Danio rerio: one gene and its partners. The protein of the gene in region 1 purifies or fractionates together with the protein of each later gene. This does not show direct contact. Links are inferred from orthologs where the notes say so. Each region holds a gene or a part of one and is shown in the gene's direction. Other genes may lie near its edges. The genes, in order: nedd1, si:rp71-19m20.1, tubgcp4 and tubgcp3.

Region 1 (7,350 bases):
AAAACTAAATGGCAATTTTAAAAAATAAAAAGCTGCATAGTGCATTTTCACATCTATTTTTAAACTGAAACTATATAAATAAACACGATTCTTGGGTACATTTACAATGTTGGAAAATGTTCACTTAAAGATTACAACTGCATCAAAGTTGATCTCTATTCTCACAAGCTCATGACAGACACAGAATGCTGTAATATGGATGCCAGGCCAGTAGATGGTGATACTGTCACAACAGCATTGATTTAATATGCTGTTTGGAGTTTGACTTGAAGCTGTTTTCTGAATCAGTTGAATGTGTTAATTTCTCCACAGAGTGTTTCGTAATAAGCAGGTGGAATCTCCACTCACAGCTATTGATTTTACTCCTGATGGAGCTGGACTGGTCGTGGGCTCAACGCAGGGCCGAATCTACCTGTATGACCTGAGAAACCTCAGCGCACCGGTCAAAATTAACACAGCTCACAAGACCTCAGTGACGTGCATTCGCTTCCAGAACTCCACCTCCAAGTTAAAGGTACAGCTGCATCTACTATGTGTCCGTCAACAAATTTCTACTCAACCAGCCTTACATGGGTTTGCTTATGTTGAATTTACTCATGTTCTTATCACTGTAACAAAAATCTGTGGGCACAGGGACAAAAATGCATCGAAGATTGTGGACTGTAATGTGTATTGTATTAATTAATGTATTAAATATTCATTATTTTTCAATTAATTAATGTATTAAATTAAATACTGATAATATTTATGATAATATTTATATGCGTAATCTGCTTTTAATCATTCAGATGATTCTAAGAATGTTTTAATTTTGCAGCGTGTTTTATATGAAATTAGTTTATTTAATAGTTTTCATTCATGTAGGTTTTTACGTTAATATATTTTTAACCATATCTTTTTAAAACTACTTATTAAACAGTTTCAGTAGTGAATACTGGAATTATGATTAAAGTATACTTTTATTTATGTTTTGTATTTTTGTTGTAAATTGTTTTTTTATTTACTTTAAGTTATGGTTAATGTATGTAACATACCGTACATTTGATCTAAAGCAATTATTTATTTAATTCTTTTAAAATAATTAAGTAACTTTTTAATATTTTTTTAACATGAATTTACCTCGTTTAATTCATTTAACTATTAATATTTTGAACGTTTTTTTAAAAAGTACTCTTAGAGTTTGTATTTTGTGCAGTGTTTTTTATATGAAAATATTTTTTGTTTTATTTAATTGGTTTGAATTTAATAAATAAAATTCTAATCATTTTTTAAAATGTACTTTTTATTTATAATTTTGAAACCCCCATGGACATTGATTAATTCTTTATTCATTCTGAAATAGTACTTAGTTTTTGCAAGCTCTGCCCCCTCACATCAATGTCAAGTTTCATATTACAAAATTTTTAATTTTGTTTTAATCAAATCTTTTTCTGATTTTGACAAGTCTTACAATATACAGTTGAAGTCAGAATTATGTTCTATTTTTTAATAAAATTTAATAAAAACTTAATAAATGTCCATGTATCATTTCTTAAATGTAATAAACATGTAGTTTAAAAATACTCTTGGAGTTTGCATTTTGTGCAGTTTTTAATAAAATTATTAAGTATATTTATAATTTTAATATTAAATATAAAATATAATTATAAATAAAATTATTTTTAAATATTTTAAATAATATTTTAATAATATTTTTAATACCCCTGATTAATAAAAAAAATATATATATGTTAATAATAGAAATTGTGATTTTTTTTTATTATTATTTTTTTAAATAAAATTTTATTTAAATAGCCTAAGTTTTATATAGTTTTCTTAGTTCTCATTAATACGAAGCATAGCCCCTTCATTCATCAGTTTATTTATAGTTCTGACTCTTGTTACAGTCCACCAAATCATCCAGCAAGTCTTCTCAATCAAATAAAAGGATCTCAGTCAAGCTGGGCAGCAGTCAGCAGACGGGACCCTCCACCCCAACATCTACTGTCCCACCCATTGTTTCCGGATCTGAGTTTCCTGGAGATGGTCAAGCCCAAGTCCCAGGTTAGATTTACTCTTTGTGACTAGAGACTGTTTTATTTCTTAGCTGGCATTTTAAAGCCCTGTTTTTAGCTGTTGTAATAGTTTAATAATAACAATAATAAGGTGTTGTGTTTCAGGTCCATCTGCTGAGGTGTTTTCTCGAGAGGCAGAGGGTCAGCTCAGTCAAGATCAGATGCCCAATGTTGAGAAATTCAGCAGCATCGGACGAAATAGTTTAAACCTGGACATTTTCTCCCCTCTAAATGATGGTACAATGCACTGTGCTCTATATCTCTCTGCTTATTCTTAATTACTAATAATAAGTATAGAATAATAAGTTAAATCATCTGCTTTTCCATCAGGTTTTAAATCACATGGCTTTGCTGATACTTCAAGAAATGGTGAGGATTATTTAATGATGTTCAGTTAAATATGGCAGATTTGAAGAGATTATGAGTATGTTGATGTTGTTTCTAGGCGGCAGTATAGATGTTTTCTCAAGGGAAGCAGAAGGACAGCAGACCGCTGACCGCTTCAGAGTCGGCAGAAACAGCCTGGACATCTTTTCACCTGTACGAGACGGTGAGGATACTTTTGCACCACCTCGGAGTTGTCGAGATTTTTTTTTTTACATTTATTTTACTAATTAATGACCTATTAAACCTCATCTCTCTAGATTACAAAGGGCACAGACTGAGTGATGTATCAAGTGGAAAGAAAGGCAAGCTGCTACAAACTTCATTTTATTTTCATCAACCGTAATGAGCTTAAAATAATAAAGTTCTACTTTGACCTCTTTCTGCATTACTAGACTTTGAATATCTACCTCATTTCCCTGGAGGCTCATCCCAGAGGAAGACTCCGTTGGGCACTCCTGGCAGCCGCTGCTACAGTCCGTCTGTGGTGCAGACTCCACCAATCAAAGAAGAGGAGTCCACCACTACCCCTCCACAGCAGACTGATGTCCAGAACGGCACCAAGGTCCATTGTTTAACATTAGGGATGCACTGTAATAAAAAAACTAAACATTTTGTCTTCACTTAGCTGAAAATATTATATCATATTGTTATTATTTTTTTAAATAATATAAAGTAAATTTGCGAGCCTTTTCAAATTTAGTTAAAAGTCGTTAAATTCATTAAATAACATATTTACTAATAGTGTAATAGAATAGTATTAATTGGTTAGCACTGTTGCCTCACAACAAGAAGGTTGCTGGTTCGAGTCCCGGCTGGGTCAATTGGCATTTCTCTGTGGAGTTTGCATGTTCTCGCTGTGTTCGCGTAGGTTTCCTTTGATTTCCCCCAGTCTAAAGACATGCGCTGTGATTTAAACTGGCTGTAGCATATGAGTGTGTGTGTGAATTGGAGAGCATATGGGTGTTTTCCAGTACTGGGTTGTCGCAGGAAGGATATCCGCTGTGTATAACATATGCTGGAATAATTGTTGGTTCAGTTCGCTGTGGAAACATAAATTGAGTTGTTTCTCTGTGTTGTTGACAGGTGGAGAAGAGTAACGGTGTACGGCAGGAGTATGATGCCATCACCACACCGCCTGCAGCTCAGAGCACGCGAATTCAGTCTGTTCAGCCTCAGTTCAACACACCAGAGCCCAGTCAGAGGAGAGATCTTTCCACACAGCTCACATATGATTCCCCCATCAGCAGAGCTCCTGCTCCTCCTGCTGCTGCTGCTGCTGGTATGCTTACTAAAGTTCACACACAAATGAAAACGTCACCATCATTGAATGACCATTATCTTTGAATATGACTTTCTTTTGTCAGATGAACACAGTTGGAGTAGGTTGACATTTTGTCCTGGCTCTTCCATGCGGTATAATGATGGACAGTGGCTCATTTTTAAAGCTTTCAAAAGTGCATAAATCTGTCAAAAAGCTAATCCAAATGGCACCAGCGGGATAGCACATGCTTTATTGACTTTATTCTGCATGTACGAGTGGGTGCCGCCATTTAAATGTTTTTGACGGGACACTTCCGGTCCAGTTCACTTCAATTGATTTTTAGAGATTAAAACTGCTCTACTTTTTATGTATATAATGTCCATATATCTACATTTCAAAGGGAAATCAAGATTGTTTAACTTTTATAGAAAGACTTATTTTTGACTCATTTTTTTTCTGACGGTTTAAACTAAACAATGGATTTTGCTTTAAGTGGATAGTTCACCAAAATAAAGAAAATGTCCTTTTCATTTACTCGCACTTAATCGGTCCAAACTTTTTGTTGAACACAAACAAGATATTCTGAAGAAAATATTGGGGAAAAGAGCTGCCATTGACATCCATAGGAACAAAGTAATACTATGGAAGTCGATGTCTGTTGTTTCCGAACATTTTTCATCTCTGCCTTCGTGTTCAAAATAAAGAAACACAAACAAGTTTGGAACAAGTGAAAGGAGAGTAAATGATGACTAGGACTTTCAGCTTTGCGTAAACTGTCCCTTTAAGTATGTCATGGCCTTCAGCTTGAAGAGGTTTAAATATGATGAAATGTGTGTTTCTCCTCAGCTCCAGCCGCAGCAGTGGATTCTGCTCCACTCACTTCTGTACAGATGAACTTTGTCCGTAACATGATTCATGAGGCACTGGAGGACTTCAGGTGAGCCACTGCATATTTAACACAATGTTGGAAAGCGGCTGCCATTGATTTCCAGTATTTTTTGTTCCTGCTATTGATGTCAGTGGCTGCTTTTTTCAGAATATGTTGTTTTGTGAACCGAAGAAAGGAATTTATAAACGTTTAGAACCACTTGAGTGTGAATGAACCGAGGAAAGTTACATCTCTTTAACTAAAGCTAAAACCATGAAGCTGATTTTTGGCTTTCTTTAAATGAAATGTACCTAAAAATATGTCAACACAAATGACTTCAAATAAAACATTCTTTATTAATATCTTGATGTTTCTGTCGCACAATCCTTCAGAAATCATTCTAATATGCAGATTTGCTGAAGAAACGTTTCTTATAAAATCCTTTTGAAAAAAACTCGGGGTTCTTTGTTAAACTTTCCCTTTTGATGAAATGTAATGCATCTTTGGTGAATAAAGTACTTTTGACCAGTAGTGTAAACAACATTATAGTTCATGTTTTTAATTAAATCTGAAACCATAAAAACTGGCAAAAATGTAGAAGTTAATAGTCTAGTTGACTCTGAAATGCACATTTTCATTTAGTTTTTAAATTCATTTACTGCAAAATTTAAAAATAAAACTTTCTAAAAACTATTTGCACATTTCAAATAAATCCAGGACAAAAAAAACTATATGTGGTAAATGCTCACAGGCCACTTTATTAGGTACACCGTACTAGTACCGGGTTGACCCCCTTTTGCCTTCAGAACTGCCTTGATCCTTCATGGCAGAGATTTAACAAGGTACTGGGAATATTCCTCAGAGATTTTAAGTCCATATTGACATGAAAGCATCACAGCAGTTACTGCAGATTTGTCGGCTGCAATCCATGATGCAAATTTCACATTCCACCACATCCCAAAGGTGCTCAATTGGATTGAGCTCTGGTGACTGTGGAGGCCATTTAAGTTCAGTAAACTCATTGTCATGTTCAAGAAACCAGTCTGAGATGATTTGCGCTTTATGACATGGCACATTATTTTGCTGGAAGCAGGCAACAGAAGATGAGTACACTGTGATCATAAAGGGATGGACATGATCAACAACAATACAGTGGTAGGCTGAGGCAATGACACGATGCTCAATTGGTTCCAGTGGACCCAAAGTGTGCCAAGAAAATATCCCTTATACAAGGCAGGATAGATCCCTGCTTTCATGTTTGTGATGCCAAATTCTGACTCTACCATCTGAATGTTGCAGCAGAAATTGAGACTCATCAGACTTGGTAACGTTTTTCCAATCTTCTATTGTACAATTTTGCTGGGCCTGTGCGAATTGCAGCCTCAGTTTCCTGTTATTAGCTAAAAGGAGTTACACCCGGTGTGGTCTTCTGCTGCTGTAGCCCATCCGCCTCAAGGTTGGACGTGTTGTGGGTTCAGAGATGCTCTTCTGTATATTGTTGCCTTTCTATCAGCTTAAACCAGTCTGGCCATTCTCCTCTGACCTCTGGCATCAACGAGGCATTTGCACACACAGAATTGCAGCTCACTGGATAGTTTCTCCGTTTCAGAGTATTCTTTGTAAACTCTAGAGATGGTTGTGCATGAAAATCCCAGTAGATCAGCAGTTTCTGAAATACACAGACCAGCCTGTCTGGCAATAACAACCATGCCACATTCAAACTCTCTTAAATCACCTTTCTTCCCCATTCTGATGCTCGGTTTGAACTGCAGCAGATCGTCTTGATCATGTCTACATGCCTAAATGCATTGAGCTGCTGCCATGTGATTGGCTGATTAGAAATTTTGTGTTAACGAGCAGTTGGACAGGTGTACCTAATAAAGTGGCCGGTGAGTGTATATAACTGCAATCTATTACTAAAACTGTCAGTTTTGATAAATTGAAAATAAAAGTAACATGTTGGTCATCGAAAACTATTCAAACAATATATAAACATTAAAAATAAATCTAAGACTAACACAAACATTAAACCTATATACAGTATATATACATATTATACATTAGTATGTCCTGTTTATGTATTTACGGTTTCTGAGTGTGAAAAGACTGATACAGTTTGACTGTTATACACAGAGACACGTGTCATCGAGACATCATCAATCTACAGGTGGAGATGGTTCGCCAGTTCTACATCCAGTTGGTAACTCGGTCTCTTTCACAAACCATTATTCTTGAAGCAGCCAGAAAATGAAATAAAGCTGAATATTACAACCCTAATAATAACACCACTCATCTTTTCCAGAATGAAATCCACGGTCTGATTGAGAAATACTCCGTGAACGACTCGCTCGTCGAAGAGATCGAAAGACTGAAAGAGGAAAACAAAAGACTACGAGCCAACTATTAGAGCAGGCTCATGCGTCTGCCAGTGCCTTCACTCTGTTTGTCATATCGGCACACTTTTATATCCGCTTCAGCTCATGAAGAGTGTTTTTGTAAGATTTCTATGCCATAAAAACAGATGGAAATGAAAAGAACTCATTTTGTTTTCTCTCCAAGGTGTGCTTTGTACATCCTGACTAGTTTACTGAAAAACTACATGTATTGGCACTTAGGATGAGTAGAGTGAATAGACATCTCAGTGTGGATTTTGCAACCTATTTTTGCCACATGATTTTTGAAAACTGCATGCCAAAAATGAAGAAAGGACACTGGTGAACATAGATATGTTTGTATTTTCGCTTCAGAAGTGTGTGTAGGTCAGAAGTGCTCAACCCTGT
Region 2 (7,512 bases), on another chromosome or scaffold:
TATCAGGATGTTCTCGAGTAAAGATGGTCTGATATCTGCAAACAGTTCATGGCCGTGTTCATCACAGAAGCAACTCTCTGATGTTCTCAGCACGACACTAGACAACAAACTGAACGACACACAATGGTTTCAACATGACAGGTGAGTCCGTTTGGTGGCTAAAATAGTGATTCGATTGTGTACTTTTAAAGGGGACCTATTATGCCCATTTTTACAATGTGTAAAATAAGACTGATGTCCCTATAGTGTGCTGGTGAAGTTTAAGTTCATAATACCTCACACATTTTCATAGATCTTAGAAACTGCCCCTTTTAGACTTTGGTACAAATTGCGTAGTTATGGTGACTGTCGCTTTAAATTAAAATAAAATTGTGCTTCCAGCCCTCTTTTCAAAAGAGGGTGGAGCTATAAACGTCTATGTGTCATCATAGCTGCAGATTCAAAACTTTAACGGCGGACGGCTGCTGCTTGCACAGAGCTTTCTATGCTAATGAGCGAGGGATGAGGTCATCACTAATAGGTGAGACTTTCCCCCTCCGATGACATACAAAGGGAAAATGTCAGCCAAAGTGTTTCTTCTTAAAATTAGAATTAATTAAAGTTTATTATTAGAGGCTGGCTAAATTCACACAACTGTGCTTTACCCCCTTCTAAAAGTGATTTTTGCATAATAGGTCCACTTTAAATCCAAAATGCACTCATTAATAATTGACTAACCTTTGTTAAGTTAATCCTAAAACTTGAGTTTCAAAATAAATTGTTTCTTTGATGCACTGCGATGCAGATGCAGATGGTTCAATATTGGTTCAGTAATAGATCATAACCGGTTATTACGTAGTGGCGACATTTATCTCCTATGCGCTATGTCGCTGTAGAATACTATGGCAAAGGAGGCGAGGGCGAGAAATTAAAATGCTCCAACTACTTAAAAAGCAGATAATTGTGCACAATTCACTGCTTGTGAGTTTGGTGGACAGTCTTTCTTTGACACTGAAGAATGTACAGCACACAAACTGCTGTTTCACTACTAGCGAGAAATGCTGTAAAACTCCATCTCTGCCTCTTTCTCACTTTGGACATTTGACCCGCTGACGTGTACTTGAGGTAACTTTTCCTCTCCTCGCGGCTGTTACAGCGATACTTGTGGATCCAGACACGAGCTTGCCAGTGGTGCAAGTTTTCTCCACTCCACTATTATGGAGTACCTGTGATAAACGCGTATTATGCGCAAATAGACTGTAACTGCGGTTGTTCTTCCCACGTCACTCATCGGTGAACAACGCTTTCATTTTCAAAGCTAATCGCAGCCTTCTCTATTGAGCGGGTGAAGACAGTGACCAATCATAGGAGTGTAAGAACTTGACAGCGCTCAGAAGGCAAGATGGATAATATTTACATTAGTCTATTTCCTATAAATGCTCATGTTGTTTTCTGTGCATGTACTGGAATATTGTCTAAACATTCAAAAAGATTTTTCTTTGAGCAAGTAAAATTAAAAGTACAGTTTATATATCTTACTGCGTTTATTTAAGGACAAAATTGTATTACAAATAATATAAAAATATAAATATATTTATAGATTTTAATAAAAACAAAATCTTGTGTTTTGAAGAAAAAATCTAATTCTGTATGGAAAGCATCGTCAATGCACCGTGATGTACCGAGATATCAAATTGAACGGAATCAACAGCATGATAATTGTAACTGAACAAATCATGAGACCAGTGTAGGTTCACACCCCTACCTAAAACATTCTTAAAATTAAAGGATTAGTTCATAAAATGAAAGTTGTCTAAGCCTCAAGTGGTTTCAAACCTTTATGCATTTGTATATTTGGTTGAACACAGAACAATATGGACAGAATAGTAGATATCTGATCTTGAAGAAGGTTTGAAATCCTTTTGAAGCTATTAAAGCAGGGGTGTCCAAACTTTTTGGGCCGAGGGCCAGATGCAAAAAGACAAACGTTGTCGCGGGCCAAATTTTACATACATCACACAGACACGTGTGTATATATATATATATATATATATATATATATATATATATATATATATATATATATATATATATATATATATATATATATATATATATATACACATACATATATATACATACAGTTGAAGTCAGAATTGTTAGCCCCCCTAAATTATTAGCCCCCGTTTATTTTTTCCCCAATTTCTGTTTAACGAAGAGAAGATTTTTTTCCACACATTTCTAAACATATTAGTTTTAGTAACTCATTTCTAATAACTGATTTATTTTATCTTTGCCATGATGACAGTAAATAATATTTGACTAGATATTTTTAAGACACTTCAATACAGCTTAAAGTGACATTTAAAGGCTTAACTAGGTTAATCAAGTTAACTAGTTAAGTTAAGGTAATTAGGCAAGTTATTTTATAACAATGGTTTGTTCTGAAGACTTAAAGGGCTAATAATTTTGACCTTAAAATGGTTCATAAAAAAATTTAAACAGCTTTTTATTCAAGCCGAAATAAAACAAAAGTCTTTCTCCAAAAGAAAAAATATTATCAGACATATGGTAAAAATGTCCTTGCTCTGTTAAACATCATTTGGGAAATATTTAAAAAAGAAGAAATAAATCAAAGAGGGGCTAATAATTCAGACTTCAACTGTGTGTGGATAGATAGATAGATAGATAGATAGATAGATAGATAGATAGATAGATAAATAGATAGATAGATAGATAGATAGATAGATAGATAGATAGATAGATAGATAGATAGATAGATAGATAGATAGATAGATAGATCATAACAAGAACTGCTGCTTAATTGAATGCATGTAATAGCGACACCCGGTGGTTATTTATTGAATTGCGTTCATTTTTGTATAGCGGGCCAGATTCTATTGATATTTATAAAAAGCCTCGCGGGCCGCCACAAAACTGATTGCGGGCCACAGATGGCCCGCGGGCCGTAGTTTGGACACGCCTGTATTAAAGTGATAGTTCACCCAAAAATCAAATGTACTCACTATTGACTCACCCTCAAGGCAGTTCCAAACATTCACAAGTTTTTTTCCTCTGTTGAACACAAAAGAATATATTTTGAAGAAAGCTAAAAACCTGTAAGCGTTGACTTTCATAGTCAAAAATCTTAAAAATATCTTCTTTTGTGTTCAGCAGAATAAAGAACATCATAAAGGATTGAAACCTCTTGAGGGTAAGTGAATTTTCATTTTTGTGTGAACTATTCTTTTAACATCTGAAGTAGCTCACATTCTTTAAAATATCTGCATCTCTGTTTAACAGAAAAAAAGAAACTTGAGCAGGTTTGGATGTGGATGGTGAGGAAATAATGGCAGAATTTTCACCTGTTTTTGAACTATCCCTTTAGACACCTTTAGAAAAAATATAAAACAACATTTAACACCAGGAGAAGCAAACAAGTAAATAAGTAGGTAAATAAATAATTGGAATATGAAGGAAAGTTGTGACATGTGGCCAAGTATGGTGACTCATTATACTTGGAATTTGTGCTCAGCCTTTAACTCATCCAAGTGCAGTGAACAGACACACCATGAACACACACCTAGAGCAGTTGGGGGTTCTGTGCCTTGCTCAAGGGACTCCTCTTAGCCATGGTATTATAAGTGGTGAGAGCACTGGTTATTCACTCTTACCACCTACCATCTCTGCCGGTGCCAGGACTCGAGCCTGTGACCTTCACAAGTCCAACTCTTTAAACATTAGGCCATGACTCTTCCCATGAAGTGTTTTTGTGACTGTATTTGCACATGCATTTCTCCTAGGAATGAAGCTGTCTGTCTGGAGAGAGCAGAAGAGGACTCACCGTGTGTCGTCACACTTCAGTGTTCACCCGGCTCTGCGTCTGCGATCAGCAGTCTTCAGGTGGTCAGTGAAGCCCGCACTATTGAAGTGTACTCGCTGTCTGGAGAATACTGCGGCACCTGCCGTGGAGAGGAAGTTCAAATATCACACACTAATGGGTATATGTATGCGAATGCTTAAGTTTACTTTACTAAACTTACTCAATTAAATCCTAATCATGTCATGACAAACTATATATCAGTGGAAGGTCTAAGACTTTTAAATACATATTTCATCACTTTTTTGTTATGTAGGAAGAGTAATAGATTAAAAAATATATATAAGGTCAATATGGTCACCAATGGAAACTGGATGTCATCTGGTCCTGATAATTGATCTTGCAGCCAAGCCAAATAAAATCTTACTAAAAGCTTCTAATTTGAAATATGAGTGGTTCAGATAATTAGATTTTCTGCCATTTTTCAAAACATAAAATACATATTGTATGTAATGTATTCATAAACAATGAAGGCACATAACTTTTATTTTAATCGACATTTCAACTTCTGCCTTCTGTCTTCTTTAAAATAAGACCAAGCTTAAATCTATTGACCAAGGCATTGAAGACATTTAAGTTGAACGTCATTTTCATATGTGCAAAAAGTGGGGGCGACAGTTAAGTTGTTAAATTATTATTATTATTATTATTATTATTATTATTATTATTATTATTATTATTATTATATCATGCTCTTATTGATATAGGCTATGTTTAACAACTACCAATTTTTTTTTCTCAAAGTGTAATACACATAGAAATACACTTCTGATGTAACATAATATACAGATCTCAGATTTCATGAACTTTTCGCTCTTATTTGCATGCAATTTGAAATAATACATTTTTTAAATAGTAAGCTAATTTAGTTAAATAGCAAACAAATACACACATACACAGCTAATGAAAAAAGACAGCATGTACATTTTTACTTTTAATAATTTCAGATTTTTTTTTTGTAATTAAGCAACTTCAGACTTTTCTTGCAAATTTAAAATAAAAAAGTTGTCATTTAGTGTTTGTCTATTTTTAAGCACAACTTCAACATTTAGACGTTAAGAAAAAGTAAAGAAATCAATTTTTGCTGGAATAACCCTAATTTTTTATTACACTAAATCAATTATTACCAGTTGTCCTTTTCTGCTCAACATTTTCATCAGTTAAATTTATCAGACTGTTGTTGAGTGCAACATATTAAAATTTTACTTAAACTCATATCTAACAAATCCAATGATTTTTCAAGTAGTCTTTTAATTCTTCTCCGAAGCTGTAATTACTTTGAATTTGCCGTTTTTATAATGCAAATATCTACAGTTGAAGTCAGAATTATGAGCCCCCCCTGTTTATATTTTCCCCAATTTTTGCTTAACGGAGAGCAGATTTTTTCAACACATTTCTAAACAATAGTTTTAATAATTCATTGCAGATTTTATTTGACTCTTTTATGGAAAAAAGAGCAGTTGTGATTTTTAAGATAATACACATCCCCTTTACTTAGCATTTGAATTTCTACCATCAGGACGCAGGTTTAGAATTAATAAAGCACGAAGAAATGCCTATAAAAAGTCATTTATCCCAATGGCAGTTGTTGTTCTAAACCGGATCAATGTTTGTAGTGGATGAGGTGGTTACCAAGAATGATTTGCAGTATTGTGCATGGGGCTAATTTGGTTTTTAAACTTTTAACTTATGTTGATGTCTTGATAAGTGTGATTGTATCGTAGTTGTATGTTTGTAATTGTTGTCCTAAATCCAGTGTTGAAGAAAAATTTCCTTTCTGTGTCAAGCAGAACGGACAATAAAGTTTTAACTAAAACTAACTTATTTCTAATAACTGATTTATTTTATAAATTTGCCATGATGACAGTAAATAATATTTGACTAGATATTTTTCAAGGCACTAGTATTCAGCTTAAAGTGACACTTAAACGCTTAACTTGGTTAATTAGGTTAACCAGGCAAGTTAGGGTAATTAGGCAAGTTACTGTATAAGGATGGTTTGTTCTGTAGACAATAGAAAAAAAAACTAGCTTAAAAGGGCTAATAATTTTGACCTTAAAATGGTGTTTAAAAAATTGAAAACTGCTTTTATTCCAGCCGAAATAAAACAAATAAGACTTTCTCCAGAAGAAAAAATATTATCAGGCCTACTTTGAAAATTTCCTTTCTCTGTTAAACATCATTTGGAAAATATTTGAAAATGAAAAAATAAAAAATAAAGTGGGCTATTAATTCAGACTAGTTTTTGTTATTTTTAGTTTTTGTCAAACAAGAAAATGTAATTAATTATATTCCACCTCACAAAATGAATTTGTTTTTTGGGTTTTCTTTTAAGTTAAATGTGATTACCCTGATGGTTTGCTCTATTTTGTGGCAGTTCTGAAGAAGAGAGGCATTTCTACAGGAATAATCTGATTCTGGAAAGCCCTGCTGTGTCCTGTGAGGTGAAGGTAAGAAATGTGAGAAGTAAATCCACACTTTCATTGCAGGCATTCAAACTGATATATGATGTGTTTGTACAGCTGCTGTCTCTCGGTGGCCGCTCCTCTGTGTCTGTCGCTCATGTTTGTGTGGGACTGGAGACACTGAAGGGCAGACAAGGTGGGCCGAGAGTAGAGCCAGGCATTGACCTTCAGCAGGTGCAGGCCATGATGGAGGAGATGGGCACCACCCTTTCACCGGGAGCACAAAATCTATTGGAGCTGGTGCAGTGCCAGCAAAAGGTCTGGTCTCAGTCTCTTATTACAGCATAATCACCACTGCACTGGGCAGATTTAATAGGATTGATATTATACAGAGGAATAATAATGAAAATATATTAAATTAAATAATAAATAGTATTTTTTTATATTACTTTATTACTGTTTTCAGTAATAATTTTAGTTGAAAAAGTAAAAATAAAATTCTTTTAGTTGTAACAAATTGAAGTAATTTAGGATGATTATAGATGGGTTGATATCTATTTAAAGCTACCCTCCTGTTAAAATAGATGAGTTTATAATAGACTTTTTAAATTAGACCCTTTTTATCATTTGGACAAATTTGGTTTAAATCTGACAAGTAGCTTGGCATCTTTTTACTACATACAGCTGCTTTTATACAAACAAAAAAGATATACAGAATCTCTTTAGCACTATGACCAATAGGTTGTTTTCAATCATGGTTCTGATGACATACAAAATTCAGATGGGGGGCAGGAAGTAAAAAATTGAATGGGAGACATAGAGGAATGTCTGTATTTTTGCGATTTAAACCATATTTATGGTTTATATTTTCCATATTAATGGAAAATAACCACATATGTTGGACATGATCCTTCTATCATGAAGAGAGCCCAGTTTCTACTAAACTGAAATATATTAGCCTGTCATCGAGGCGGTATATACTGTATAAGCTATTATGTTACATGAACAAATACTACAGTAAATACTTTATTGTTTGAAAGCATACAATAGATTATTACTTGAATTACACTTCGTAGTAATTATAATGTTCCTGTGACATGACTCAACTGTAGTAATAAACAAATGGGGTGTATGCCGAGCTAGTGTTTTTCCCAAACTGATAAACTTCCGGTGACCTGTTATTGTGAACTTTTTTCCATTTTATATGGTTCCTTTTACAGCATGGATGTTGTAATGTCATTAAAATAC
Region 3 (7,994 bases), on another chromosome or scaffold:
GTACATTAATATGATGTAACTAAAGATTTACCTGAAACTGCAGGTCTTTTTAGTTTTCCCATTATTTCATCTCTAGTCTTTCGCTCAGGAGCCTCGATCACGGTGATTCCTTCAGCCATCTCATTTATCTTGTCCATCACACGCTGCGGATATCTGAAGGGTCAAAACACATCAATCAAATTTCTAGAAACTTTTATTAAAAAATATGGAGACTATCAAGACTTTCAATGGCCAGATGTTTTCTAAATATTCCTTGTAAAATAATAATAAAACATTACGGTGAACTATATTTTACAGGAATTTCATTCATTTATAGTCAGTATGAAATCAGTTCTTTCTTGTTCGCATTTCCTAACTTATGACCCTCCCATAATAGAAAATAAATGTTTTATTTATATTATTGTATGCAAATATACAATGTACACCACTGTTTAGGCTTGCAGTTTTTCTTAATATTTTTGAAGGAAAACTCAGCAAGTTGCTCAACAAGGCTACATCAATTTGATCAAAAACACATCAAAAATATAAACTCCAGTGTTGCAAAACGTAATTTACATGCTGATAGGGTAAAAGCTCTTTTTCAGAAGATTTCAATTTACATTTCTTAGTTTTGTGCTGTTGTGCTGTCTAAAGTTATTGTGCAAGAAATGTATAATAATATAATGTAATATATCATATATGAAAAATATTCGAAGACTATAACGCCAAACAACATTTGGTTGAGTCTGAATTCTTTTGTAACGACCAAAACATCTTTACTAATAACCCAGCAAACAAATTTTGTTTAATAAATGTCTAATAGACATAAAATTTAAACAGCTTGGCTAAAAAAAGGCTAAATCTGGGTCAGCAAAAATCTAATAATCATCTAAGAATAGCCCAAAATAGCCATTATACAGACTTTTTTAAATCTGTAGTTATTAGTTCCTGTTTACTATTTGACGACTATACAGTCTGAATGGCGGCGCGGGAATGCAGGTATTGCGCAATTTTTCATTTCTGCAAATGTCGCGAGTGCTTTATTATAAAACGAGCGCAGTCATGTACGTTAATCGCTAAATGCGAATATGCTAGCTCTTGAATAAGCTTTTTCAAATGAACTGCAAGTCCTCTCATGATCTTGTCACCGCGTGTGTGCACTCAAACTATACAATCGCGATCTCTTAGAAGTAGAAATTATTTATCTTTGCTCTTTGACTAAACTTTAAAAAAACGTAAAAAACTATCAAGTATTTAGAATTAGATTGATGCATGACCGGTGACAATGCTAACGGATTTATTTGGCTGTATTGTAAAGTGAAACTTAGCCTACCAGTACTTTTAGCAAAGGTGGAAATTTTATTTCATACAAAAGAGTTGCTAAAAATGTTTGATTGAGGTATTATTGTGCAGGTACAGGTAAAAGCAATCTGTTACATTTATCAAAATAAACAACCTTAAAAAACTTTAAGAAATGTAGTGTTGTATTTCAAATACCTCAGGTGAAACGAAGTCATATATTTTATTAATTTACTACTGACAGTGTTCTTGTCTTTTTTCTAAAATTATTTAGTTTAAGATTAAGCCTAAAATAAAATTTTGTATAGACAACAATGAGCAAATAAGAAAAACTGTGTAAAATATGTAAATAAACCCCACATTTAAATATTTTCATCATATACTTTGATTAAACATTTCAAATCTTGAAAGTATTGTTTAAAAATGGACAAAAAGTGTCTCTATGGCCTTAAGAGTATGTGGTAGTTTTGCCAGTCCTATTAAAAATGATTCATTGTCATGAAAGGAAAAATCGACCATACTTTGTTAGTGCAAATTACTATGTGTAGCCTTGTGATTTAAGCAATTAAACCATTTAAATAATTTTATACTTAAAAGGGCCATGATGGAAAATCTTTTTTTTTTCAAAAGTAATAAACTAGTACTCAGAGTAGTTTTTTTTAAAAGAGTAATTTGTAAAACATTAGTATTATTTACTAAAACGTGTATTATTTTTGCAGTGTAATTGTATTATAACATACAAGTATTATATATACAAGTATTCTGTTCTCTTTCCATCTGTGAAAGAACATCAACAAATAAAATAAAATATGCACAAGCACATTTAGTGCAGGTTTATTAGATTATTAATATATAATAAAAAGTGCTTAAAAATCCTTGATTTTCATTAGGCTGTGTCTGTGAACCCTGTATGTAATCAGTGTCACTTTTTAATCGTGAGGTGATGGTAAATTAAGTTATGGTCAATTGTCAGCTCTCTTGGTTGTGAGGTCGTGTGATGCATGTTGCTGAACTAAATTTTACTTAGCTACATTTTGAGATGTAACTGCAGTATGTCAATTTAGTTTATTTGTGTGTGCTGCGCTCATAGACTTTAGGAAACGGCGCTCATTTGTTTGATTTCTCCTCGAGAAGCTGCACAAGCCTAAAAAAAAGGGGGGGGGGCAGCTTGCAAAAGGTTGAGTTTTAAGCTATTCTTAGATGTTGATTACTTTTTCCACTGACAGCCCAAATTTAGCCTTGTTTTAGCCAAGATCACTATATTTAATCATCTATTAGACATCTATAGGTCATCTTTTAGAAACAAAAACGCTTGCTGGGTATTTTGATCCATTCAGTTTAGCCTTGTTGAACCCAAACTTTATAGAACAGTATAGTGTAATCCAGTTCTAATTATTTAACAAACTTGACAACAAAAAAAACTTGGATTTAGTGAGAATTTTAAATCAACAAGAACTACAACAACTGAAAAAATCCATAATAAACTGGCAATTACCGACAGCCTAAAAATACATGGTTGGCCCAAACCATGGATAGAGACAGCAGTCTGTCCAGACTAGAACTTGGACTCCCAGGTTGGATGGTAGGAAAAGCCTCCATATTCCGCAGCACAAACTCTCTCCTGGCATACCACTGTTTATTTGTCTCACAGTGTCCTCTTAAAGATTCCACCCAGCTCACCAAATGTGGATTCTGACTGAGGAACTCAGAGACAATGTCCTCTCCTCTTCTTGCCGCCATCACTGAAAACAAGGAAAACTATCAAAAGTTACTTGGAGAAGTTCATAATGTCCTACCAAGCAGCTTCAAGCATGAGGATTGTAAATCTGTGCTTTTGCCAGCAACAGGCAAACAAACAGTTCAATTGTGGTTGGTAAGACTGCAGACTAGACACATAACACATATACAACAGAATGTTTATAAATATATAATAAAATAAAATAATATATATATATATATATGTGTGTGTGTGTGTGTGTGTGTGTGTGTGTGTACACACACACACACACACACAAATATATGAATGTATATCAGCGTACTCAGTGTTTAGTTTAATATAGTTTTAAGCTTGTTTACATTTTATAGTTCATTAAATATTAATATTAATACCCAACGCATTGTATAAGTGCCTTAAAATTACGATTTTGCGCACCTGTATTGACTGACATGTATTTATCTCAACTTTATTGTGATGATAGTCGAAGGGCAATCAATCAACAAATGTAATATAACTGTAACCACAAAACACTCCGCAACCGATTCTTAAGAGGAAATAAGCGCTGTTTACCTCTAAAATACTCTCCAAAGACAAGTCCTCATTAGCGATATGTAGTAGTAAATATACTGCATTTATCGAGAGTGTAGAAGAGCAGACTGAGCGCTTCCCCTGTCGCGCTTGGGATATGCGTCATCAATATGCGACGGAGCTTTTGGCGGTGCGAAAATAATAACGATGACAACTTACTGCCTGTATTTTTGTTATCGTATGCGTTGTTTTTATACGCTATCAATGTAATAACACTAGAAAAATGATTCACGAGTTGCTGTTGGCTTTGAGTGGATATCCTGGCACCATATTTACCTGGAACAAACGCAATGGATTGCAGGTATTTTGTGCAGTTCTGTCAGTGATTCATCTAAAATTGTAACTTATATGTATGAGCGTTTATGTGTATAACATACTGAATCATTTAGATAACGACTGTATGGAAAAGAACGACTATTTTTAAACCCGACTTAACGTTACAAGTGTTTTTTTTATATAATGTGAATGTACAAAACACCCCACTGTATCTCACGAAAATGGTCCGTAGTGGTATAAGTGTAATTGTAACCATAACGTTAGTTGTTTTATCATTATGTTTTATCGTTATAGTCACTATAATCAATTTGGGGTTGCTACATGGTCTTTTTGCTTCATGTGAAGTAACGTTAGGGTTACCCTGATAGGTACGTTTTTTGCAGAATACTATGGTATTAAAAATATTCATAAGGTGTATTACGATGGTGTATTATGCATACCCGGCATATGACAGCATCAAGTTTTCATATTGCAATAACTGTAGAATCTTTAATCATAATATTGACACAAGTTGTAAGAATGTCATTTTTTATCAGATATAATAACAAACGTGTATTAATATAAATATTTTGAGTAAACAAATGTGTCAAACTAATTAAATTGCAGAAATTTTATTACATTTAATAAGGTTCAATAGGTAAAAATTTTCAATAAGGTATTGTCAGTAAGTATTAGTTAATGCGTTACATGATGGTGTAAAAAAAACTTTTGTTTCAGAACAAAAAAAAGGGTTAAAAAAATCTGTTTTGTATTTATATTAGGCCTGTCACAATAATCAATATATCGAGTTATTGCACAACACATGGACATGACCTCAATCGTTTTTAGTGATGCAATATATAGTCCATAATTCAAAAACAATTCTAGCAACATTTTAGCTGATTTAGCTGAAGGTGTCAGTGTGATTAAAAAACACTAGTATTTTCATGTGGGTGTCTGACAACTGAAAATAGATCTGGGGCCTGTTTCAGAAAGGAGGTTAACTGAAAACTCAGAGTATTTTAACCCTGAAATGAGAGAAACTCTGGGTTTTCGGTTTCAAAATGGCAGGTTTGTTAAACTCGAGAAATCAGGGTAAGTCAAGCCTGTTTCTGAAAGAGAGTTAACTTTAACTCAGAGTCAGTTACTGTGGTAACTTACTCTGTGAATCTAACCTGGTCAGAAGCAGGTTTTATTCTCTAAACTCAGAGTTTCTGTCTGTCTCCTCCCCTTTTTTTAAAGATGAAGCGGTATTTCTCGCCTTAGCCTTACGTTTCCACCCACCTTTTTTAATGCTCATTTTGGATACGTGCATAAAAACGATTGATAGAAACGTCATGATGCACATAACTTTTTAAAATATGCATAAAAAACGCACATAACTGAGTAGGGTAAACTTTTATTCGATAGAAAATGTGCGCATAAACTACGATGGAAACACTTTTACTGAACAAATTACAGTATGTACATTAAAAAAAGATCATGATCATATGATAATGAAAATGTGTGTAAATGAACAAACCAGCAGGCTGGGCACACTGTAACACGTCTTAAATATTGTTTTAGTCATTCTAAAATGCCTTAACTGTTTCAGTATTAGTGTATATTATTAATTACCTCCGAACGTCTGGTGCGTGTCAAGAGACTCCGCGTCTCATGGCTTCAGACGCCCCCACGTGTTCATTGTGTTTCAGCATTGTCTTCTGACATCGAGGCACAAGTACATTAATTAGGCTAAATAAAGAATTAATTGACGCAGCTTCTTCTACCACAGTAAATTCTGTTTTTACTGTTGATATTTGGTGCCAGTTAAATCAGGAAGTGACAATTTTTTTCTCTTTGACTCGTTGGATGGAATTTTATTCGCATCTTTTATGCAATATTCCAGTCTTGCACATAAATTTATGTAATATATTTGGATGGAAACATAGCTATTGCCTTTATTTTAGTCACACACAGAAGAACTGTACGAGAATGGCTTATGCTTTTTTAATAAATAATTAAATTGAATTCACCTTCGATATGCATGTAACTAGATTAATGGGATTATTATTCTTTCTAAAAATTATTTTTAGTACTGCTTACCTTCTAAATGTTATATTAACCTCTATCACTTGATCAATAAAAAAGGCAGACACACAAGTGCACTGTTAAATCATTTAAAACTAATAAATGTATAAAAGAAAGTTTAGAAAAAATATATAAACGTCACAAATTACATTACTTATTTTATTATACTTAAATATTTAAATACTTAAAAAGTTAAATTAGGCATTATCTTGAGCAGCTGTTTTCCCACGCTAACTGGTTGGTGGCTGCTTCTTTTCAAATATATACACTCATATTTGCTATAACTTTGCATGAGAACATCAAGTTCAGCTGGAGAAAGAAATGGTGATCTCTTTTATAAGATATTGCCATAGTCACTCGTAATGTCTGCGCTCCACTGATAATGCCTTTTTATAGTCACGGTGCGCGCGCTTAACTCTGAGTTGGTCTACTCGAAGTTGATTGACCCAACTCAGATCAGCTGTTCTGAAACCGAAAACTCTGAGTTTTTAATCTCTCGGTAAATCAACTCAGAGTTCAAGTTTAAACTCTGAGTTGTTTGAACCTCTTTACTGAAACAGGCCCCTGGTAGCAGATATCATTACTTTTTACCTTCATTAGCACTTTTTTGTTAACATTTAATATTAGTTATTTCGGATATGCGTTTTCACAGGTTCTTGCATTGTTGATGATATTGTATTGTCATTCTAGCATTATATAATGAGTATCATAAAATGGTCTTAAATGACAATATTATCGTTTATTGAATATATTTTGGGCGATGCAGTGGCGCAGTAGGTAGTGCTGTCTCCTTACAGCAAGAAGATCGCTGGTTTGAGCCTTGGCTGGGTCAGTTGGCGTTTCTGTGTGGAGTTTGCATGTTCTCCCTGCGTTTGCGTAGGTTTTCAACCGGGTGCTCCGGTTTCCCCCACAGTCCAAAGACATGTGGTGCAGGTTAATTGGGTAGGCAAAGTTGTCAATAGTGTATGAGTGTGTATGATTGTTTCCCAAAGATCGGTTGCAGCTGGAAGGGTATCCGCTGCATAAAACATGTGCTGGATAAGTTGGCAGTTCATTCCGCTGTGGTGACCCCGGATTAATAAAGGCATTAAGCCTTGTCAGCTTAGTCCCTTTATTAATCTGGGGTCGCCACAGCGGAATGAACTGCCAACTTATCTAGCACGTTTTTACGCTGTGGATGCCCTTCCAGCCACAACCAATCTCTGGAAAACATCCACACACAGTCATTCACACACACACTCATACACTACAGACAATTTAGCCTACCCAATTCACCTGTACCACATGTCTTTGGACTGTGGGGAAAACCGGAGCACCCGGAAGAAACCCACGCGAACGCAGGGATAATATGCAAACTCCACACAGAAATGCCAACTGAGCCGAGGCTCGAACCAGCAACCTTCTTGCTGCGAGGCGACAGCACTACCTACTGCGCCACTGTGTCGCCAATTTTCACCCAATAGTCACTATTTAATAGTCATTTAAAATTTTATAACCATGATGAAGTGTTGTTGATGATGACAGGTGTCCCAGGACCTGCCGTTCCTTCACCCTAGCGAAACCAGTGTCCTTAATCGATTATGTAAAATGGGCACTGACTACGTGCGCTTCACAGAATTCATAGAGCAACACACGGGTCATGTTCATCAACAGGTAATCTGCATTTACTCTGCATACAGTGTGTTAATAACATAGTAAGCACATAATAGCAGAAGATTTCTTCTTGTCTGACAGGAGCACTATTCCAGTCAGCCGAGTCAGTCTGGGCTTCATGGCATTTACCTGCGGGCCTTCTGTACTGGCCTCCACTCTATGCTGCAGCCTTATCGGCAGGCTTTACTGGACCTTGAAAAAGAGGTTTCACATTTGGAGTTTACACATTAAGTATTTATGCTGGTATTTGCAGATTATGTTGGACATTAAATATGAATAATTTGCTTAACAGTTTCTTGGTGATCCACACCTCTCTATTTCTCATGTCAACTACATGCTGGAACAGGTAAAAAAACAACTCATGCACCCAATCATCTGATACATGCTTAATTGTCTGATTCATGCTTTCAAGCTAAAGTTCAAAAGTTCAAGT
Region 4 (8,177 bases), on another chromosome or scaffold:
GTTGTTGTTCTGTGGACATGTTTATATATCTGTGTGCCATTCATACAAACTTCATTTCAATTCATACAAAGCTGGTCATTTCAGCTTCTTCAGTTTTTAGAAAGATCTTTATTATAAGTATGCATAGGACAATTTTCAAGGTTTATCACAGTTTGGAAAAGTTTTTTTTTTTTAAACCGGCAAAATTTTCTGCTAAACCATTCCTTAAGGTTTGTATACGATTTTTTATTTACAATTTTTGTTTTGTTTTTAGGACAGCAGTATCTCCAGCAGAAAAGATCTCCAAAAATGCAGTTTTAAATTGTAATGACATCTGTTTTTGAAACTAATGAAGACAGCAGAAGTCAATAATCCGTTTGAATTATTCAGCCTGACATGTTACTGCTATAAAATATTTAAAATGTTTCTCAAAATAAAATATATTGTGTGTTCAAAGGGAAGACATTTAAAAATAATATATTTTAATGCAGTAATCACAATACTGTGCAGTCATGATATTTTTATACAAGGTTATCACACCAGACCCTGCCTAGTTATAAGTAAGCACATAACTTACTCAGAATCTAATCTCTTAAAATGCATAAATGTGTTAAGGAACATCAGTGCCATTAATATAAAACACATACAACAGTGAACTATGTTTTTGTAAACTATGGCAACAGTTGGAAAAACTGAAATACATGCTTCTCTTCTTACTCTAAGTCATATTACCATTTCAAATGTCAAATTTACACATCACTGTATATGTGGAATATTGATTAAAAGAAACTGGATATGATTCAGAGGTACACTTTTGCATGTCTGACAAATAAAATAACATTGGCATAGGGATAATGAGAAGAAAATTAAATATGGGCACAAATGCAAAATGCTAAATTACTGTAGAAAAGCAAACACTAAAAACTAAAACGGCATCACAGTGGCGCAGTGGGTAGTGCAATCCTCTTACAGAAAAAGTCACTGGTTCAATCCTCGGCTGGGTCAGTTGGCATTTCTGTTTAGTTTGCATGTTCTCTCTGTGTTCGCGTGGGTTTCCTTCGGATGCTTCTGTTTTCCCCACAGTTGCGCTAACACATGTGCTAGGTGAATTGGGTAAGCTAAATTGTCCATAGTGTATGTGTGTGAATGAGAGTGTATGGGTGTTTCCCAGTGATGGGTTGCAGCTGGAAGGGCATACGCTGCATAATACATTTGCTGGATAAGTTGGCAGTTTATTACGCTGCTGCAACCCCGGATTAATAATGGATATAAAGAGGAATAAATAAATAAAAAGGGGATTATTAAAGGGGATTAAAAACTAAAACTAAAAAATTCATTTTTAGCAACATGGCATTAGCAACCGCAGACAAATGTGAAGTGAGTATTGTCAAGTACCAATACTAAATTGGTCCTCTGTGCACACACACGAGTGAGAAGTTAGAGCACACACACATACACACTGAGCATATACCCAAAGCAATGGGCAACTTTTGCTTCTAGCAGCCAGGGAGCAATTAGGTGTTATGGCATCTCAGCTGGGTGTCGAAGATGGAGAAATCTTTCCGGGACAAGGAATCAAACCTGCAACCTTTTAATTACAAGTCCAACTTTCTAACCATTAGGTCACAACTGCTGCTAATACGTAATTACACACTATAATTGTAACCTTACAAAAGCAAACACAACTTTTTCAAACGAAACTGCTTTTATTATCATTTTTGATCTGAGAAATGCACCAAAACAACTGAAAAATGTTTGTTTTATTATTATGCCATTTATAAATCTAATCTAATCTATATATATCTATATATATATATCTATATATATATATATATATATATATATATATATATATATATATATATATATATATATATATATATATATATATATATATATATATATGTTTGTGTGTGTGTGTGTGTGTGTGTGTGTGTGTGTGTTGGATATAGACCATTTCAATGTAGTCAAAATAGTTTATCAAACTATTTCAAAACTGTAACAATTCAATCATAACAAGGTTAAAACTGCTGTCATAACATTATTTATCAATAAGTGGCTTTTCTCGGTAATCAAAAGCCATAGAAATTTAATTTAAAATGTGAAACAGGAAGTACGTTGGCACAATTGTTTTTGTTTACATCCCTCAAAATGATCTATATGACATTTTATATAAGGGAAAACCAAATATGAACTTGAATGTCATACATGTAATTAGCATATTGTCATATATGAAATTTCTATATGGGATATTATTGGTGCTGTTTTTGGTTAAAGTGTTATAATAATAATATTTAAGAATGTTTGTTTGTCATTATTTGTTTGGTTGCAAAAATTTAGAAACAGCCCAGTGCACCTTTCAAAGCTGTTTATCTATACCGGTTTTATTAGTAAGAATAACGTTTCTGTTATTAAATAATTGAGATAAAAAACGCTCAAATATATCAGTATAACTAATGCAATTATTATTATTATATTTTATGCTTAGGCAATGTTAGTACGGAGGAACCTGTTTCTCAGCCTCATTTCACAGCCGACCGTTCCTCCGCTGCGCACCGCTGCTGTGTTTTCCGTTGACTGTCCGACTGTGGGCGCTTTTCGGCGGGTTCCGTTAAAATGGCGCTGTTGTTGCCAGGAGCTCAAGCCCATCGAATGGAAAGCGACAGCGGTTAAAAAAAAAACACCGTTAACCGTTTCTGCCCGCACCGGAGGCGACAGATAAGCGCACAATGGCGACGCTTGATCAGAAATCCCCTAACGTGCTTCTGCAGAGCCTGTGCTGTAAGATCACGGGCAAGAGCGAAGGTAAAGACTCAGATCTCATCCCTTTACATCACTGTCATACCGCCGCTTAAACATGATCGTCATGTGCAGGATGTGAGCGAGTATGTGGCTGTTTCGTTGAAAATGTGATACGATCAAATGCGTGATTGAGGGTCAGATCTGCACCGATGAGATGCTGTAATCTTGTGAACATTTGCAGATGCTGAAAAGCGCAGGGCCCCTGCCTCTTTGCGTTAATAGATAGGGGTTAAAAACAATCGCACATTCAGACATACTACTTAGTAATATAATTTCAGAAAATAATTATACACAAATTCATAATGGGCAAATCATATTAGCAGCCAACGACTAACAAAGTACAACAGTGTTCAATCAAGGTCAATCAAGTGTTCAATCAATCAATGAAATGGTGCTAATGTTGTTTTGAAGTCATATTTAAATGCGATTTTAGACCCAATATTCAAAGTAGCGTGGTAAACAACATGGAGACTGTTAAATGCACTCATGAGCGATTGCAAAACTAACTTTACCTCAATAGTAAAGAGACCCTGTGATGATTTGTGTCACCTTATGTCAGCTGTCATTTTCCTATAAGTTAGTGCATTGAGGTAAAGTTGGTTTTATATTCACACATTCGTTCAGTGACAACTTGTGACGCGCTTCCTATATTGTTTATCACGGTTCTTTGAATATTTGGTCCGAAAAAACTCCAAGTATGACTTGAAAACAACATTAACACTGTTTATTTGACTGTGAACAATGTTGTACTTTGATAGTCATTGGCTGCTAGTATAATTTTGCTATTTAGAATTTGCAAATAATACTTTTCTAAAATTATATTATTAAGGAAAATGTCTGAATGTGTGAATATATAAAACCAACTTTACCTCTATAGTTAGTGCGTATGAATGAATCCCAGACCTACAGGACTTGCATCTCAGAGAGTTTGCATAAGATACAAAACAGATCAGAAACCGAAGACAGCAGAGCAATTTCAGAGTTATGGATGTGACATTTACAGTAAAAACTCAAAACATAAATTCACATAGAAACTAAATGTTCATTTTATATTGAAACGTCTGTTTCTATTTTCCAGAACTACTAACCACAGAGTTAGGGGATCAGAAAAATATCAATATGTAAACATATTTCATATTCAAATGAGGAAAATAAACTTGCGTTACTTATGGATGTGACCAAAAAGTTAGCGAGTTTATAGTAAACAACATACTTTGTAGAAATTAAACTGCACAGAAGAAACAAAGTTATTTCATAAGGATAAGAGTTGGCTCTCTATACATCAATTATTTTTATTTTATTTTTATTTTTTAAATTTATGAGGAAAAAGCTTGGTTATGGAATCTGGATATGACGCCTCTCCATTATGGATGTGATAGATGTGAAAATACCACTTATATTACTTTGGTAAATCAATGTAACTTTGAAAACATTGACAGATCATTTTTAAAATATTTTACAGTACTGTAAAATACAAGCCTACACAAAAAAACTAGAAAGAGTTTTGCTAATTTGTTGAAATTTTTTATGGAATTGCTCATCAGCAGATTATCAGTGAACTGTAGAGATGGCAAATGAATGGTCCTTTCTTTCATTTTATAAAGATGAGATAAATGCATTTGAAGTCAGAATTATTAGCCACTCTGAGTTATTAGCCCCCCTGTTTATTTTTTCCCCAATTTCTGTTTAATGAAGAGAAGATTTTTTTCACACATTTCTAAACATAATAGTTTCAATAACTCATTTCTAATAACTGATTTATTTTATCTTTGTCATGATGACAGTAAATAATATTTGACTAGATATTTTTGACTAGATAAGTTTGACCTGAAATGACACAGACTTCTCCCTAAAAATAATAAGACGGTGTACAAGAGGCATCATTGTGGAAACAAATATTTATCAGATTTTCTGAATAATATCAGGGTTGCCTGTAAACGAGACATTATTTATTGAAATGTGCTATTTTTATACATTTTTTAGCATACAAATCTAAATTTTGGATGAAGCCAAGTTAAAAACATTTGATTACCTGTTTTTAACAAATTATTAGTCAATTGTTATTAGAAGGAGCGTTTTGAAAACATATTTTTATCAGTCAATAATTCAGAATATTTCATGACCAGCTAGACTTTTTTTTATTATTTATTTAGTTTAACATTAATGGCATTTGGCATAATAAAATCTGTAAAATCTGCTTCATGTATGTATGTATGTATGTTTGTTTGTTTTTGTTCTCAGCTGACGTAGCCCATCAGTTCCAGTACGCTGTGCGGGTCATTGGAAGTAATTACGCTCCCACAATTGAACGGGACGAGTTTTTGGTGTCTGAGAAAATTAAGAAAGAATGTGAGTGATGTTGAAACCCTATCCTTTTTTTTGTGCACATGTGCTTTTAGAAGGCCTGAAACAAATATTTTGTGTTTTTTTTTTTTGACCTGTTATATTAATCTACAAAAAAAAAAAATAAAAGTAAAATTATATGAGAATTAAGTTTTAAGAATTTTATTTCAGAAACATAATATTAAACTTTGTTTCCGCATGAAAAATAGAAATTAGGGTGAATTGTTAATCTGCTATAGTAGCTGGAATTTCAGCAGATGTAGTCATAGAAATTCATAATATCAGATTTAGGACTTTGGTAAGATGATGAAATCAACATAATTCTGAATGTTCAGTATAACAGAATAAAAAAAATACAACTGATCAGCAAATTTACTGTGAATAATATCGATAATTTGTGATTAACTGATGATTGGTTTTAACCATATTTTTGTCTTGAGTTATCTTTTCCAAGGTTGGATAATTGTTATGTATAATCAAATCCATTTTTAAGTTACTTTTAAATATTGAAAGAATGATCACTGTATGTACCAGATTATACATATTTTTGTGTCAAATTTACAGTTCTACTTTCTTTATAGTAAAATAACACAAAATAATGCTGTCAGCTAGAATTTCAGAATTAAGATTGACAAAAATCATTAATATTGCAGACAACCCGATTCAAAAACCACTGTAATGTATTTACTGTGTGTTTATTGTCTGTTACTTTTCTTTGTTCCTTTACTGACTATGCATAATTATTCCACCATGTTGTCATTAGTAATAATCCAGCCCTGGACCTATCGGCGTAGAGACAATTCTGTCAAAAATGCCCTTTAATAATAGCTGCATTAAAAAGAAAAACTTTATATTTTGGTGTCATCATTTATTGTTGATTATTGCTGAATTCTTGCAGTGTTGAAACAAAGGCGGGAAGCAGATGCAGCCCTTTTCTCTGAGTTGCACAGAAAGCTTCAGACCCAGGTCAGAATCGATCATTATTCTCATTATTTCCCAGCTAGCCGTGGTGCACGGATCAGATATAATGATCGTTAGATTGTTAGATGTTGTATGTTGATTCAGTTGTTTCTGTTCAACAGGGTGTATTGAAACACAGATGGTCCATCTTATACCTCCTGCTCAGCCTCTGTGAGGACCCAAGGAAACCATCCGGCCGGGTTCCTGTATGAAATCCTATTTTACAGACTCAGTGATATGAAATATAACTTTACATGATGTATAACAAAGGCTATAGAATACACAAGACGTGTCGCTCTTATAGTTTTGAATGGCGAAAAGTGTAAAGGTCAATATGACGAATGAAGCCCCGTCTTCTAGTACAGGAGACAATCAGCAATCGATATAGACTGACGATTCTTTGGGGGAAGGGGGGGGGGGGGGTGTATTCATTGATGATTCCTAATTTGAAATTAAATCTTAAGCTTGGCAAGCATTTTTAGAGAATTTGATGTTACCCCATTCAAACAGAATACCTCAGCATACAAGGCATTTCAAAGATGGTCTTCGAGTAAAATGACTTGCCTTAAAGGGATTTTGTGTATAAGCGCAGAAGTAATCTTGTTTTCTGTCTACAGGTGTGTAGTTATGGAGCTCTGCTTGCTCAGGCTTTGCCCCGTGATGTTCACTCCACACCGTTCTACTATGCCCGTCCTCAGAGTCTCCCACTCAGCTACCCAGAGCGCTCCGCCACAGCTCATAACTCCAGCATGGCTACCAGTGGAATCAGCAGTATGGGGGTGTTTTCTATTAATGGGCCTGGACCGACCCCACCATCTTTGCTTACTGGGTCAGTTGCAGACAATAAACCTTTTTCATATTTGCAGCTTTCTCAGCAGTGGAAGTCGTCATTCTTGGGGAAGCTTAAAAAATACACTTCGAAAAAAAAAAAAAAATGGAATGACATAATTTCGATATAATAATTTCGGCATAAAATATATACATATATGTATATATGTATGTATTTTTTTATACAATAAGTAAAATACAGTATAACACAGCAAGTATTTGCATATAGAAATCATTGTGTTGGTACGTAGAATTTTATATGAATGATCTTAAAGCATACTTCTCAAATATTACATATTATAAATGAATATAATTAAGGGAAATCTGAGAGCTCCCTCATCCTCCATAGACGGCAATAATTCCCAACTTATTTTTGTACATAAAATAATTCAGTGGTTCTATAGGTGGTTTAAAAAATGTTGTAAGAAAAGATCTAGCTGAATTTTCTCTCCTGTGAACAGTTGTTGTGTCATTCTTATTCAGCTTCTGTTGAATTGCTTCATATAATCCTTTATAAAGTCTATGACAAAACATAAGGGTTTCTCTCTCTCCTTCCCTCCCCTTTTCATAATTATCTTTTCAATTATACAGCTGTTGTATTTGTCGCACGTTTAATTGAACTGCCGCACACTCATCTATTATTAATGCATTTGTCTAGCACCTGCAGCACTTAAGATATTTTAAATATGGCCATGTCCTCCAAGCTCCTGAATTAATTGATTACCGGATCCATTTCACAGTAAATCTGTCAGAGCAAACAACATCATTAAAGTGTCCAGAGCTCAATGTCATTATTTGTTTAAAGCGTGCCATTATGTGGTAATTAGTGAATTCCCACTGGTTTTGCTAATGGGCAACGAGAATGTGTCTCGAAAATTTATGTGGTGAAAAAGACAAATATTTCTTTCACCGCAGCCTTAGAGTTGGACTTTTTGTTCTAGAATTTAACATACAGCATCATGAGGTAAATTTTTATAAATCTATACCATTTTTTTCTGTTTTAGAGCTGGAACTCAGGCTGTTGGAGAGTCTATGAGAGGGTCTCGTTTAGCCTGGACTCTGCCAGTGTCCAGTTCTCCGTCTGGGGCAGCAGCTGCTCCTCGTCCCCCCAGCGGACCCTCCTCCAGTCCAGCTCCCAAACCACTGCAAAGACCCAGGCGGGACGGAGATGGCAGTGGTTGGTATCTGCAGCAGTAATCTTAGATTTTTGTTAAAAGACATGGCCAGTTGGAAAGTGTCGATTGCTTATACTAAAAAAAATAAAA

Evidence for each region.
Region 2: the proteins of nedd1 (region 1) and si:rp71-19m20.1 purify together in Homo sapiens (co-immunoprecipitation; 3 studies listed by BioGRID and IntAct, counting the BioPlex papers as one, with this or other methods). This does not show direct contact. The link is inferred for Danio rerio from reciprocal best matches to the Homo sapiens genes NEDD1 and C10orf88.
Region 3: the proteins of nedd1 (region 1) and tubgcp4 purify together in Homo sapiens (affinity purification with mass spectrometry; 3 studies listed by BioGRID and IntAct, with this or other methods). This does not show direct contact. The link is inferred for Danio rerio from reciprocal best matches to the Homo sapiens genes NEDD1 and TUBGCP4.
Region 4: the proteins of nedd1 (region 1) and tubgcp3 purify together in Homo sapiens (affinity purification with mass spectrometry; 3 studies listed by BioGRID and IntAct, with this or other methods). This does not show direct contact. The link is inferred for Danio rerio from reciprocal best matches to the Homo sapiens genes NEDD1 and TUBGCP3.

Annotation. Positions count from the first base shown.
Region 1 is NC_133200.1:20,784,107-20,791,456, forward strand, and holds part of nedd1 (protein NEDD1), read left to right. Parts: intron 1-312; coding exon 313-514; intron 515-1,886; coding exon 1,887-2,043; intron 2,044-2,159; coding exon 2,160-2,291; intron 2,292-2,384; coding exon 2,385-2,423; intron 2,424-2,499; coding exon 2,500-2,604; intron 2,605-2,698; coding exon 2,699-2,743; intron 2,744-2,833; coding exon 2,834-3,003; intron 3,004-3,524; coding exon 3,525-3,720; intron 3,721-4,547; coding exon of another isoform or gene 4,548-4,548; coding exon 4,549-4,639; intron 4,640-6,703; coding exon 6,704-6,770; intron 6,771-6,872; coding exon 6,873-6,977; 3' UTR 6,978-7,350. UniProt on the Homo sapiens protein: Required for mitosis progression. Promotes the nucleation of microtubules from the spindle.
Region 2 is NC_133187.1:11,907,332-11,914,843, forward strand, and holds part of si:rp71-19m20.1 (ATPase PAAT), read left to right. Parts: 5' UTR 1-7; coding exon 8-141; intron 142-3,782; coding exon 3,783-3,986; intron 3,987-6,236; coding exon 6,237-6,309; intron 6,310-6,381; coding exon 6,382-6,582; intron 6,583-7,512. UniProt on the Homo sapiens protein: ATPase that regulates mitochondrial ABC transporters ABCB7, ABCB8/MITOSUR and ABCB10. Regulates mitochondrial ferric concentration and heme biosynthesis and plays a role in the maintenance of mitochondrial homeostasis and cell survival.
Region 3 is NC_133182.1:54,551,882-54,559,875, reverse strand, and holds the start of tubgcp4 (gamma-tubulin complex component 4), read left to right. Parts: upstream 1-3,648; 5' UTR 3,649-3,806; coding exon 3,807-3,884; intron 3,885-7,414; exon of another isoform or gene 7,415-7,432; coding exon 7,433-7,561; intron 7,562-7,642; coding exon 7,643-7,765; intron 7,766-7,853; coding exon 7,854-7,907; intron 7,908-7,994. Other genes in the region: cdkn2aip (CDKN2A-interacting protein), read right to left, coding at 32-153, 2,774-3,018. UniProt on the Homo sapiens protein: Component of the gamma-tubulin ring complex (gTuRC) which mediates microtubule nucleation.
Region 4 is NC_133176.1:49,709,102-49,717,278, forward strand, and holds the start of tubgcp3 (gamma-tubulin complex component 3), read left to right. Parts: upstream 1-2,708; coding exon 2,709-2,784; intron 2,785-5,022; coding exon 5,023-5,130; intron 5,131-6,022; coding exon 6,023-6,090; intron 6,091-6,206; coding exon 6,207-6,290; intron 6,291-6,701; coding exon 6,702-6,917; intron 6,918-7,916; coding exon of another isoform or gene 7,917-7,941; coding exon 7,942-8,089; intron 8,090-8,177. UniProt on the Homo sapiens protein: Component of the gamma-tubulin ring complex (gTuRC) which mediates microtubule nucleation.